2 linked regions of the Arabidopsis thaliana genome follow. The protein of the gene in region 2 purifies or fractionates together with the protein of the main gene of each other region. This does not show direct contact. Each region holds a gene or a part of one and is shown on either strand. Other genes may lie near its edges.

Region 1 (5,644 bases), on a different chromosome or scaffold from region 2:
CTGATGGAAGTAACTATCTGATATTTACAGTGCTCTATGCTGATCTATCGAGAGCACCAACGCTTTTGCCAAGCCGTAGGAGCAAAGAACAGACAGAGCAAGCATACAAGATGCTATCTGACTGTTTCAGGTCTCTATACTAGTCAGATACGTGGGAGTGCATATTCACTTATCGTTCTATATTCTTTTATATTCATTCTCCTTTCTTATGCAGATATGGAATGAACACTTCACAATGTCGGGCCAAAATACTTGTGGAGTACTTTGGGGAGGAATTTAGTTCCAAAAAGTGTAACTCGTAAGTCCTATCCTTTTATCTAAAACCCATCAAGTCAAACTACCAAATAGTTGTAAAACCTTTCCAATCTATGAAACAGATGTGATGTTTGCACTGAAGGGCCTCCGGAGCTAGTAGATGTACGAGAGGAAGCTAATCTTTTGTTTCAAGTAATCACTGCTTTTCATGTAAGCCATTTGATTAATCCCAGAACTTCATTTAAAAGTTTGCTTGTTTCGTATGAGTGATATACAATCAAACATATTTCTATTTAGTATTTGAGATTTCGTCTACTACTGTATAACCTTTCTTTCTGAAACTTAAGCCGCTAGTATATTAGTTGCAGGTAGACAATGACTCTGAGCATGCACCATATGAAGATTATGGACTCGGCAACAGCAAACAAAATAAATTATCCCACAAGCCAAATCTTCTGTTCTTCATCAGTAAACTCAGGGAACAGGTAAATCTTCTGTTTCAACAAATTACATAGTGCATTATGTTCTTGATGATATTAATGTGATGCCTTTGGTTAGTGTAGTGTGAAAAATTCAAGGAAACAGATTGTCTTTGGTGGAAAGGTCTTGCCCGTATCATGGAAGCCGAAGGATACATCAAAGAGATGGATAACAAGGTACACTAGTAACCAAAAAACCAACCTTTCTTATGATCCATTTATCGGTAAAGGCGTAAAGCTACGATCACATATTCGGTTAAAACCATGTTACTGATCTGTGTTGCAGGATCGTCGAGTTGAGATTAAATTCATACAACCAACAGAAAAAGGGAAGAAACAACTAGATTTCCAAGATGACAAACCACTCTATGTTTATCCAGAAGCCGACATGCTACTTTCGTTGAAACAAGATAGAACATACAGTGGATTCTCTGAATGGGGAAAAGGATGGGCAGATCCAGAGATCCGGCGCCAGCGGTTAGAGAGAAGAGAAAGAAAGCCTCGAAGAGAAAGGAAACCCCGAAAAAAACGAACACGAGGACGTTCTTCGACGAAGTTACATCCATGGAGAAGCAAAGAATAAGAATCTCAACCCTCTTTAAGTAATGAATCCACTTTATATTCTTTTACCAAACCCATTATTCCATTCATGGATCTTTATGGAAGCATAATACTTCTTTCTACAATTGCTATATCAGGCTCCTTCTTTGCTCTGAGTCCCATCTTGAGGCATAGATACCGCGCCATCGAGAAGCTGAGGCTTGTAAACGAGGCTTTGGTAACGGCGGAAGAGAACGTAACAAGGCTTCAAGAACGTCATGATGTGATTCTCAAAGAGATATGTTCTTATTATCTCGTTAACACCGAGCTCCATGAAGCTTTGGTTTCATCTCGTGCAGCCATTAATGATGCTTCTTCATTTGTCATGGAGCTTAGAAGATTACAGTTGAATATCTTAAACTCTCTTTCTTAATCACATTTTTTGTACTTATTACACTAATTAAAACCAGAGTTTGGGTAATAATTTTTGTTTCCTTAATTTTCCGAATTATCCGCTAATTTTCTACTCTAATTCTCTGGATATTTTAAATAATAGTAATAATCTGCTGTCAAAATAAGATAAGAAAAAGACATAAAGCTGATTATCTTGTAGAACGTGTGGGGAATGAATCTAACGGCTGATATCACTCAAGTGTTCTTTTCCACCTTCCTTTTACAACACCCACGTGTAATGTCATACAAAGAAGTCATTACGACCGTTAGATCAAAGCCAACAAGATCCAATCTTAACGGCTAAGATAAATTACTACACGGATCGCCAACGTGGCAATACGTGGTATATACATACACGTCGTTCTTTCCTCATTTTAAGCAAATCGTAAACCGCCACAAAACCGAAAAAAACACTAATTGTGCTTTCCCTTTAGATTCATTTGTATTTTCTTTTGGAGCTTTTGAACAATGGAGTCATCACAAGCAACGACGAAGCCAACGAGAGGAGCAGGAGGAAGGAAAGGTGGAGATAGGAAGAAGAGTGTTAGTAAATCTGTTAAAGCTGGTCTTCAATTTCCCGTTGGTCGTATCGCTCGTTACTTGAAGAAAGGTCGGTACGCTCTCCGATACGGTTCCGGTGCTCCGGTTTACCTCGCCGCCGTTCTCGAATACCTAGCCGCCGAGGTATATTCAATCTCAGATCTCGTTGCATTTTGAATCGATTTATTTTGTGTATCTATTAGATCTGTTTAATTTTGAAGTTCTAATGAATTGAACCGGTTTGGTTTAGGTACTTGAGCTAGCTGGGAACGCAGCGAGAGATAATAAGAAGAACAGGATAAACCCTAGGCATCTATGTTTAGCGATAAGGAACGATGAGGAATTGGGGAGATTGCTTCATGGAGTTACTATTGCTAGTGGTGGTGTTCTTCCAAACATTAATCCAGTTCTTCTTCCTAAGAAATCAACAGCTTCTTCTTCTCAAGCGGAGAAAGCTTCTGCTACCAAATCTCCTAAGAAGGCTTGATAAAGAATAGTATCGATGTTGCTTTTTGGTTATATTCGGATCTTAGATGAAGAAGAAGAAGAAGAAGAAACAACTTGTTTTTTGTTTTAGAGGATTTGTGTAGGTATCTGAAATCTTCTTCTCTTTGTTTTGGTTTGTCTTATGTAAAAACCATGGGAAGATGATTATGTTTGTTAACGCAATTTGTAATGGAAAATAATTAAGTTCTGGGATTAGTAACTTCATCTGTCTAATTAATTTCTGGGTTTCGTACTTGTTGATTTAAACAATTTAGGTGGATTAATTGAAATGGTTTTGGTATACACATGGAAAGATTCAGTACAGTTAATGACATTAATTAAAGTAGATAATAATCACGAAAAACATGACATTAATTAAGAAAATGATTGTTCAAATTGGGCTTTGTTTGGGCTTAGTTGATAGGCCCGTTAGAATTTATGTTCTTGGTTCATCTACGAGATTCTGGAAAAGGGGTTTTGGTTTTCCGGTGGGGTTTAGAATTTAAACAAGACGCGATTTCGAATTTCGTTCTTGTAGAATCAAATTGTTTGGTTTCAATCTTGGATTTGCGATGATGAATTTTCTGGTTCGATTCTTCTCTGCGATTGTTCAATTTCTTGTTTAATTTGGTTAAAATTTCACTGACTCATTTGTTTTTTTCTGGGTTTAGAGAAGAGCTGTATCATCTTCTAAAAGAAGCGAGCTTATTCGCATCATTTCTGTTGCTACTGCTACTTCTGGAATTTTATATGCTAGTACTAATCCAGATGCAAGTAAGTTACTATTACCAAGAACCATCTTCTTCATTATGCGTTGTATTTGTCTCTCTTGGTGTTGTGGTTTAATGTGATATGTATTCTAGGAACTCGAGTATCGCTTGCTATACCTGAATCTGTTCGAGAATCTTTGTCGTTACTGCCTTGGCAGATTTCACCGGGTTTGATTCATCGTCCTGAGCAAAGCTTATTCGGTTCGTAGCAAAATTTTCTGATATCTGAATATGATCAATGCCAAATTTACTCTAGAGGTGCAAGTTGCAACTTTGGAATGTCTGTTTCTGTGTATATGATATAGGAAATTTCGTGTTTTCTTCGAGAGTTAGTCCGAAATCAGAAGCACCTATAAATGATGAGAAGGGAGTTTCTGTTGAAGCTTCGGATAGTAGTTCGAAACCAAGTAATGGCTACTTAGGGAGAGATACTATAGCCAATGCGGCTGCTAGAATTGGACCAGCGGTTGTCAATCTTTCGGTTCCTCAGGGTTAGCTTCTTTCTTGTTTTTATCTTTCTTTTGATTTCACTTTAGAATTCACAGTGGTGGTTTGGTGATCTTGTGAATGTTGTAGGTTTCCATGGGATATCTATGGGGAAAAGTATCGGTTCTGGAACGATCATTGATGCTGATGGCACGATACTGACTTGCGCTCATGTTGTAGTTGATTTTCAGAACATTCGTCATTCTTCTAAAGGGAGGGTATGACTAAAACATCAAATATGTTTACTCATACAATCTTGCAAAGGATCTTGGAATAACTTTTGTCTTTGGAATACATATGGTTAATTATAAGATTGGTTTCTTCTACGGATTTATCTTTGATGGAATCTGTTTAGAACATATCTGAAGTTTAGAGTTGTTGAATTATAGGTAGATGTGACGTTGCAAGATGGTAGGACGTTTGAGGGTGTGGTGGTGAACGCTGATTTACAATCCGACATTGCATTAGTGAAGATAAAGTCAAAGACGCCATTGCCAACTGCTAAACTTGGTTTTTCGAGTAAGCTTCGTCCTGGAGACTGGGTAATAGCGGTAGGTTGTCCTCTGTCTCTCCAGAACACAGTAACTGCTGGTATTGTCAGGTAAAATAAACACATGTACTTGCAAAAGATTTATTCTATATATTTGATAAGTTCTTATAGTCAGAATTGTTGATTTTTTTCTTTCCGGTTTTGCTTTTTCTTGGTGCTAGTTGTGTTGATCGCAAAAGCAGTGATTTGGGTTTAGGAGGCAAACATAGAGAGTATCTCCAAACAGACTGCTCGATCAATGCGGTAACTTACATCTTTCTGTCTCTATGAATGGGAAAGTCATTACATATTGACTTGCAGATTTTGTGTTTTTGAGATCCTTGTGCTATATGTGTGTCAGGGAAACTCTGGTGGGCCTCTTGTAAATTTGGATGGGGAAGTGATTGGTGTTAATATCATGAAAGTTTTAGCTGCAGATGGTCTTGGATTTTCCGTGCCAATTGACTCGGTATCTAAAATCATCGAGCATTTCAAGAAGAGTGGGTATGCTAGTAATCTCAGTATAGTTTCATCATGTATCACATCTTAAAGGTTGGGAGGAGTTAAACAAAAGGTTATTGTTGCAGTAGAGTTATTCGGCCATGGATTGGGCTCAAAATGGTCGAACTCAATAACTTGATCGTTGCTCAGCTAAAAGAACGAGACCCAATGTTTCCTGATGTCGAAAGAGGCGTTCTTGTTCCTACGGTGAGTACCCATCGATCAAGAAGATCCAAAGAAAAAATGTATAATCCAAGTTTTGTCAAACTTTTGCATATTCACTTATATAGTTGCATGATCATTGTTTGGCAGGTGATTCCGGGATCACCGGCTGATCGAGCTGGCTTCAAACCAGGAGATGTTGTTGTGAGATTTGATGGGAAGCCGGTCGAGACCATCAAAGAGGCATGTGTCGTCTCTCTCCCTCTCTCTTTTTCTCACACTCTCTTTTTCTCACACTCTCTTTGTCTTCTTAGTGTTCGTGTGTGAATGAATTTTAATTGCAGGTGATAGAGATAATGGACGACAGAGTTGGGAAGAGGATGCAAGTAGTTGTGGAAAGATCAAATAAAGAAAGGGTCACACTAGAAGTCATTCCTGAGGAG
Region 2 (7,783 bases):
TTTTATATAATAGGATTCGTTTATCTTGAATATTACACTCTCTTTTTGTTGTTGTTGATAGTTTGGTGACATTAATTATTCTTGGTTTTTCATCTCTTTTACTTTTTAAGTAATGGATACTATATATCATAATCCATAAGCAATCTGGTTAAAGTTAACAAAAACACATTAGTAGCGAATCCGGAAAGATGTAAAAGAATAATTTATCAGTAAATATATTTTTTATTCTATCTGAGAAAAAAATCATTAATCATGTAGATTCTAATTTCAAATATATAATAAAGCATGCAAAATAAATAAATTAATTAAAAATTTAACTAAGAAGTTTCAGATTTAAACCCATAATCTCTTCTAAAAAATGAATAATACATATCAATTTAGTTTCTTTTTCACCAACGGTGAAATCGACATTTTTTTTTATTTTTTGGAACTTCGGATGGTACATTGATGAAGCTACCAAAACCAAGTACTAAATGTGTTACGTATTATATAACTTTTTAAAATAAATACATAATAAAAATTAATATTGAAAATGATTACACAATTATCTTACAATTAAAAATTGTTACACCAACCCTTCGTAGAAATATTAGGTGGTAACAAAAATAAATTAATGATTATTGAGAGCTTAACTTATAATGAGCTCATTTGAGTTGTTTGATCCTCAAGTCCCAACCACCAACCCATAACCCATTCAACATGTTTCCAGTTGGTTTGCATAATGTAAATGAATACTACACACACGAGACAACCACAACATGCATATATGAATAAGATATATATGGTTGAAATTGGAAACAAACTAAACGTTATTTTTACTTTTTAGTTCCACAAAAACTTTTGGATATGTTTTGATCAATAGTGGAATTGGGGCAGCAAAACAAAACTAGAATCTAAGAGTTTGGTTTTAGTCGTTTTCAAATATACGTGTTGAAAGTGGCCTATGGATGGATGGATTCATTTTTTTCCAAAAAAACAAACCGGTCTAATTAGACTGAGCGGTTATCCAATACCAAACCAAACCAACTATTTATTAAGTCAAAGGTAATCCAATGAGCAATTTCAAATCTAACAAAGCAACAACACACAGTGAAAAAAATCCAATGAGATAGAATCAACAGCTTTATCCATGGCTGAGTTCTAATATCTAAATGATGCTCAACACTACTTTACAAGAATCTCTTGAGTCTTTGGAGTCTTCAGGATCAGTTTTGAGGGATGTTTGATCATTGTACAATACCGTGGTCACGAAGGATCTAGAAATTTTCTTGCCACTCAAACTTTTCAGTTCATCCACAGGATGTTCTCGACTTCACAACATTCCAACTTTGTCAAAAGATTGGAGATTCTCAGCGATTTTTTGAAGTGCTTCTTCACTCATCTCAACTTTTCGGACTACACCCGGAAAGATCTTGTTCTTCTCGGAAGCAGCAGTGGGAGAAACTTGACCACAGAGCTTTGATTTCATCTCTAAGCAAGATTTGAGATCCTCTTCGGTTCTTGCTTTGTTCAGTTTATCGATTATTTCATTCAAAGCTGAACCTTTCTCTTCCCATTTCTTTCTTTTGACCCGCCTTTTGATATCATCTTGATCATCTGAAGAACTGCCTAAATCCAGTCTCTTAAGCTTCACCAAACCGGCTTTGACTGTCTCCGCGATCCGCTTCTTAAAGCTCTCTGTTCTTGCAGAGTTCGATCTCAGCCTCAGTTTAAGCTCTGAAACAATATTTTCCTCTTTGTTTTGCTCAGGAGCTGCTGTTCCATGACTCTCTTCATCAGGAACAGATGTAAATGAAAATGCTTCTTCGAGTAAATTCACATTACTCATGTACCGATCAAAAGCTTCATTTTCTACTTCAATGTTTCTGTCTCTGTACTCTTTTAGCTTTGTAAACCGCCACTCGTTTAAAGCTTGAGCATCCTATAGAATATAGACAGAACAAAAACTGATAAGAGGAAAACAACTAAATGGAGATTTTTCATAGAGTACTAAAGTCAATGAAAGACGTCTTAATTAGTATACCTTTATCGTCAAAGGTTTTCTCTGGCGGGAAGAAGCATTCAGGTTATTAAACTGAGCAAAGTTGCTAGAAAGTTGCCGGATTGACGAAACTCTAGTGGTACTCCTGAAACAATTTCCAAAAGAAGAAAACGTCAACATAAAGCGCCATATTTTAGTTCCACAAGACCAATATATCATCTCACTATCAACTACGTGCAATAAAACAAGAAAGCTGAAGAATCTCCTATCAAAGTATTAGTAAGCAAACACCGGTTTATCATCTAAGATTCACTTGCCCATGGAAGCACAAACAAAACAGAAAATTAGTTTATATATATGTACCCGGGAGTGCCCTCGGTTGCTTTCTGCTCTGAAGATGGAGTACTTGGCGCCTGCGTCTTCTCACCAGACGTTGAAGCTACTTTAAGAACTGCAGCGAAATAAAACACATAAGAAGAAACACAAAACAGTCCATGATAACATCTCTATATCTCTCAGCTAATCACAAGCACATTCCAAGAATCAGTCTTATGGTTCTTTATAGGTTTTTTTGTCCCGAGACAACCAAACGAACCCTATAGAAGTCAAGAATACTAAACTCTAAACTTACCAAGTGAAAGAATAGAACTCTCCAATCAAAGTTATCAACACTAAACTCTAAAACTGATCACTTTAGCTAATTATGAAGTTGAGATTTGACAGGGCAAACATACCGTGAATCGGGCAGGGATTCTCTGCTCTTGAACAACAACCCTTACAAGATTGAAAAGGGCACCTGCATTTATCAAATCCAAGCAATACAATTACAATTACTTCACCAATAATCTCAAAAAACTGATCTTTCGATACTAAAGCTCAAAACTTTAAACAATCTCCAACAGATTAATCACCAAATCATGAATAAAAACCCAAACCCACAAACCTATGAACCCTAAATCAAAACGAAAAAGTACTATACAAGACAAATTCGAATCCTTTCAGATCAAAAACCCAAGAACAATCCATAAATCGAAACCCCAGATGTAAAAAACCTAAGTCCTTCGATGAAACAATGCGTAGAAGCAATACCTGGAGCGAGCTACATTGCCGCATTGAATACACTTAGGCTTATTGAGACCACGGAGAGTTTTGGGAGGCGTGACGACGGAGGAAAGACCATTGTTACTCAGAGACGGTGACGAAGTCGCCATTGATAAAAAGTAACGGTTTAAATTAAAACCGTTATTCAACGAAAGAGATAACTAACGACCAAATAAAACTCGTGCGAGTGAGTAACAAAAAATTTGGAATCGAAAGGATTGGTTTTTATTTTTTTTTGTCGCTCTGATTTTGCGAAGTGCTCTCAATCGCTCGATTTCACGGCGGGTCTAGGGCTCCGGTTATTAATAATACCACGTGAGTCGTTTTTATATGGGCCTGGGTTTTAAAGCCCAATATAATTTCTCTTTAAATTGAACCGAACTTAACCAAATCATGAACTTTATCCGGGATCAGACTTGTCAGATAAATCAATATAAGCCCAAAAAAAGCCCAAGTAATTAGGTTATTCTATCGAATCAGATTCACATATATATAGACGTTATTGTTCATATGAACAATAGAACATCAATCTAAATAATTTAGTGTTTGCCGTTTGGGCAAATCTTTTTCTTCCTCATCTCTTCCTTCGCTTTGCTTTAGAGTCTTTTCATAAGTAAAAGAAACAAAAACAATAAATCATTCTACTAATTGACTTGTAACTCGAAGCTTTGATTTGGACGTTACAAGTGGTATCAGAGCTTCACACTAGAAGCTTCTAGATAGAAGTCAATTTGGCAGACAAAACAATGCATTTAGATTTTGGTGCATTCAACTTCAGAGTGTTTTCATATTTTTATACTACTCTATACTATTTTGCAATTGATATCGCTTTCTAACTTATTATTCTGATGCATCGATCGCTATATGATTATATTGCGTAACCTTGGCTGATTTTGCAGCTTCAATATACTTAGAGTCAATTTTGTACTTGGCTGATTTTGCAGCTTCAATATATTTAGAGTCAATTTGTATGGACTTGCAGATTTGGATGGGTTAACACATAAAAATATAGTTTATACTTTATAGACATGATTATTTAATTAATTAGTTGATTTATCATTGGTTTTAGATTTAGTAGACTATGAGGACTGTCAAGAGTCCACACGACGATCAAACTAAACAACTCTGATGATAATAGAGACTACAAAACAAAACAGAACTGAACAATTTTACAAAACAACAATTAAAAAGTATAATTTAATCGGAATAATAATATTTGCTCACCAATATATAAATTTTAATTATTCTTCTTCTTTTTATTTATTTGGTAAATATTTAACCATCCATTCATGATTTAACGATTACAATCGAGATAAATACCATTGGATAACAAAATATTACGAAAGATTTCCTCACCAATTCTTCGCGACATAGTGAACGTACATCTCTCAAGTTGTTACTTGTAAATTGCAATCATTCGCATAATCTATGTTGCATGAAAACGGAAACGGAAATGCGGATACGAAACGTTTCGGAAACGGGAAACGATTTTTTCTTAAAATTAGGGATTGGAAACGTTTTGGAAACGTATACACATTTATACATATATATAACATTATATATATATATATAACATTAACATAAAACTATATTAAAGAAAAAATGATTTAAACAATACAAGTCCAAAATATCAATATTAAATAAATAAACTAAAATTCTAAAAGATAAAAATTAAAAGGTTCAAGTTCAAATAGTTAATTTAGACCAACATTTTCATTAGTTTTATCAAAGATAATATAAAGCTCTTTTCAAATCTGGTTTAACAAAAGAAAGATCTTAAAACTCAAAGTCTTCCAAAATTATTTATATGTAATAATAATTTTAATATTTTCAATTTTAGTTATTAAATTTTTAAAGTCAATAAAAAAGATTTGTCGTATGTCTATTTCGGAAACGTGAGTTTCTATTTTGGAAACGTAAGTTTCCATCGTGTTTCTAAACCTAGATTTTTAGGAAACGCGTTTCCGTGACGTTTTTCGTATTTCCGGAGAGTTTCCGTTTCCGAAACGTTTCGGAAACGAGAAACGCACCTCGGAGCGAGTTTCCATGCAACCTAGCGCATAATCTTGCAAAAAAAAACATTAATACATAGGCCTTGGTTATTTTTTAATCCAACTTCTCTATAAATTGAACCTGAACTTAAACCAAATCAGAAATACATAAATCGGTCGGTTTGTGAGGTATTAATCCGAGATATGAGATATTTTTTCTTTTTCTTGTTAACAAATTAAAGGAGCAAGAATCGTCCTTATCAAGTAAGGACTTGATTTTCCAAAATATATTTGAATTCCTTTTTTGTAGGATCTTTTGTGGATCTAGTTGGCAAGAGTGATGTGTATATAAAAATGTTAAAATTGATTAATAGCCACAATGAATAATTCTGCCAATGAACTTGTACTTTGTAGCTTCAATCTAGACCTAACATTGGGTATTAAAGCTTCTATATATATAGAAGCTCTGATACCACATGTTAGTTTTAGATCAAAGTTTCAAAGTATTAATAAATTGGCAGAGAAAAAAAAGCATATAGAAGTCAATTCCCTTGAAGTCCTTTTTAACTTATTGTTCTTAGTTGGATCTTGAGAACAGTATCTTGGAGTATTTCTATGTAAAATGTGAATTTATAGTTTTCAAAATTTAAAGCCAGAAGTATGTTTGCTTTTTTATTGATGTTGATGTTTGAAATCATCATTATTTGATTCTTCACAAATCAATATTTTTCCTTGCATGCTGTAGATTAGACGATACAACAGAGATCAAGTAGATTCCAAGAATCTTGGAAGCCCGAGAACTATGTATATACACCGCATGATTTGTCAGGACAAAATTTGGGTTAACAGTAAAAATGGAGTAGAGATGACTTATCATTGGTTTTTTACTTTTTAGAAATATCGACAGTCCATGCAACGACCAAACTAAATATTTTTGGTTGTATATCAGAGACTTATGCGGTAATCTAATTTTTCAAATTGACAATGGTAATGTCCAAGACTTTCTTTGTTCCTCCCATTCTCAACCTTCAGTGAGAAGAAAAAACTACAACAATTAACAATATATCAGAAAATAAATAAATAGAGAAAGAATAATCTTACAAAATAAAAATGAGAAAATTAAAGTATAATATTTAATGCGAGTAATAATACTTCTTAATCAATAGTTTTGTGTGAAAAAGAAAATCTAAAGTTTAGTGAGAAACAATAAAATATTATGAAAGATTTAGTGGTGACCGTAAACATACATAATCTCTCAAGTTGTTGCAATCGTTCCCATCTCTTCCAAAAGTGTTTTTTCCCTGTTTTGGCAAAGGAGTAAGAATCGGTCCTTGTCAAGTAGGACTAGATTTTTTCCAAATATCTTTGAGTTCCGTTTTATGTATAATCTTTTGTGGATCCGCTTTGCATGTGTGTTGTGTATGTAAAGTGTTGAAACCCAACTATGTGACACATGACAAGTCAATACAAGCCCATTAATCCATGTTTCCTTTCCAAGTAATTAGGTTTATTCTAAGATGTAGACTCATATATATAGACATGTTATGAAGATCAATAAAATTAGTTTAGGGTTACCTGCAGTTCTCTTTCTTCCTCAATTCTTCTTCATATTGTCTTTGCTAAAGTTTCTCTTCTTTAGAAAATAAAAAGAAGAAATCATTTTGTTTATTGACTTGTACCTTGAAGCTTTGATTTGAACCTAAACCTAACAATTGGTATCAAAGCTTCTAAATAGAAGCTCTGATACCAATTGTGAGAGTCATATCAAAGCTTCAAGGTAGTAGTCAATTTGGTAGAGAAAAAAATAGGGTTTGCCATCTTGATTTTGGTGCATTCAACTTATGCTAGGAGTTTTTTATAGGTTTCAATTGATATCCTTTTAACTTATAACACCATGTCTGAAATCTTATTTATTCAATTCTCTGGACATCAATCCTGCTCTTTGCGTGTTGGGGTTGAAGAATAAACTTTGACGATTCAACAGAGACTTGCATAACAGCAGAATTTGTCCGGACAGAATCTAGATTAACACCAAAATATGGATTTATAGACATGATTAAGTTATTTGTCATTATTTTTGGTACTATGGCCAGTTCCACACAAGACACAACGACCAAACTAAATATGTCTGGTCACTTTTGAGAATTGAGATTTTATCTCGTAATTATATCAGAAACTCTTATGATGTAATTAATCTAATCTTCAAACTGACGATGAAAAACAAGTACTTTACGAGAGAAGAATTTTTTTGGAGTCAAAATAATTGTTCGATCTTTAGTTCTTATAAGAAATAATAAAATATTGAGAATATTACACGTAAAGACACTATTTCGAAACTTTGGCCACAAATAGGCACTTTAAAAGCATTAGTCACTTTAACTCAGTAGAATTACCCTTTTACCCTGAAATCGTTTGTTTAACAAAACCTAACAAATTTAGCCGGTTTTCGGTTTAATTTTTTAATCTCAATCTCTAAACTAAAACCAATTTGTGAGAAACTTCTCTTTCTCACCCAATTCTTCACGACGATTTTACAGTTTCATTTATCTGGGCAGTTAAAATCATCACAACGCCGATAACATCATCTCGACTCCGGCGATCATCCCGACGAGTTTTCTACCGGCAAAGTCATTTCCTCGTCCCTCTCCCGTCGTTATCGTCAACAAAGCTTTCAATCGGCTGACATTAATTCGTCCTCTCCCGTCGTCGT

What was found. The genes of interacting proteins can lie anywhere in the genome.
Region 1: the proteins of AT1G32730 (region 2) and HTA7 fractionate together in Arabidopsis thaliana (co-fractionation; one large-scale study listed by BioGRID). This does not show direct contact.

The regions. Positions count from the first base shown.
Region 1 is NC_003076.8:9,789,917-9,795,560, reverse strand, and holds HTA7 (histone H2A 7), read left to right. Parts: upstream 1-2,000; 5' UTR 2,001-2,195; coding exon 2,196-2,411; intron 2,412-2,517; coding exon 2,518-2,754; 3' UTR 2,755-3,052; downstream 3,053-5,644. Other genes in the region: RECQSIM (RECQ helicase SIM), read left to right, coding at 31-130, 215-298, 378-465, 618-740, 819-911, 1,021-1,317; DEG14 (Trypsin family protein with PDZ domain-containing protein), read left to right, coding at 3,326-3,340, 3,425-3,527, 3,617-3,724, 3,829-4,014, 4,100-4,227, 4,399-4,610, 4,721-4,802, 4,900-5,042 and 3 more.
Region 2 is NC_003070.9:11,836,486-11,844,268, reverse strand, and holds AT1G32730 (electron carrier/iron ion-binding protein), read right to left. Parts: upstream 3,360-7,783; 5' UTR 3,193-3,359; coding exon 3,071-3,192; intron 2,778-3,070; coding exon 2,716-2,777; intron 2,433-2,715; coding exon 2,345-2,432; intron 2,127-2,344; coding exon 2,024-2,126; intron 1,922-2,023; coding exon 1,313-1,921; 3' UTR 961-1,312; downstream 1-960. Other genes in the region: AT1G32720 (Cytochrome C oxidase polypeptide VIB family protein), read right to left, coding at 7,638-7,783.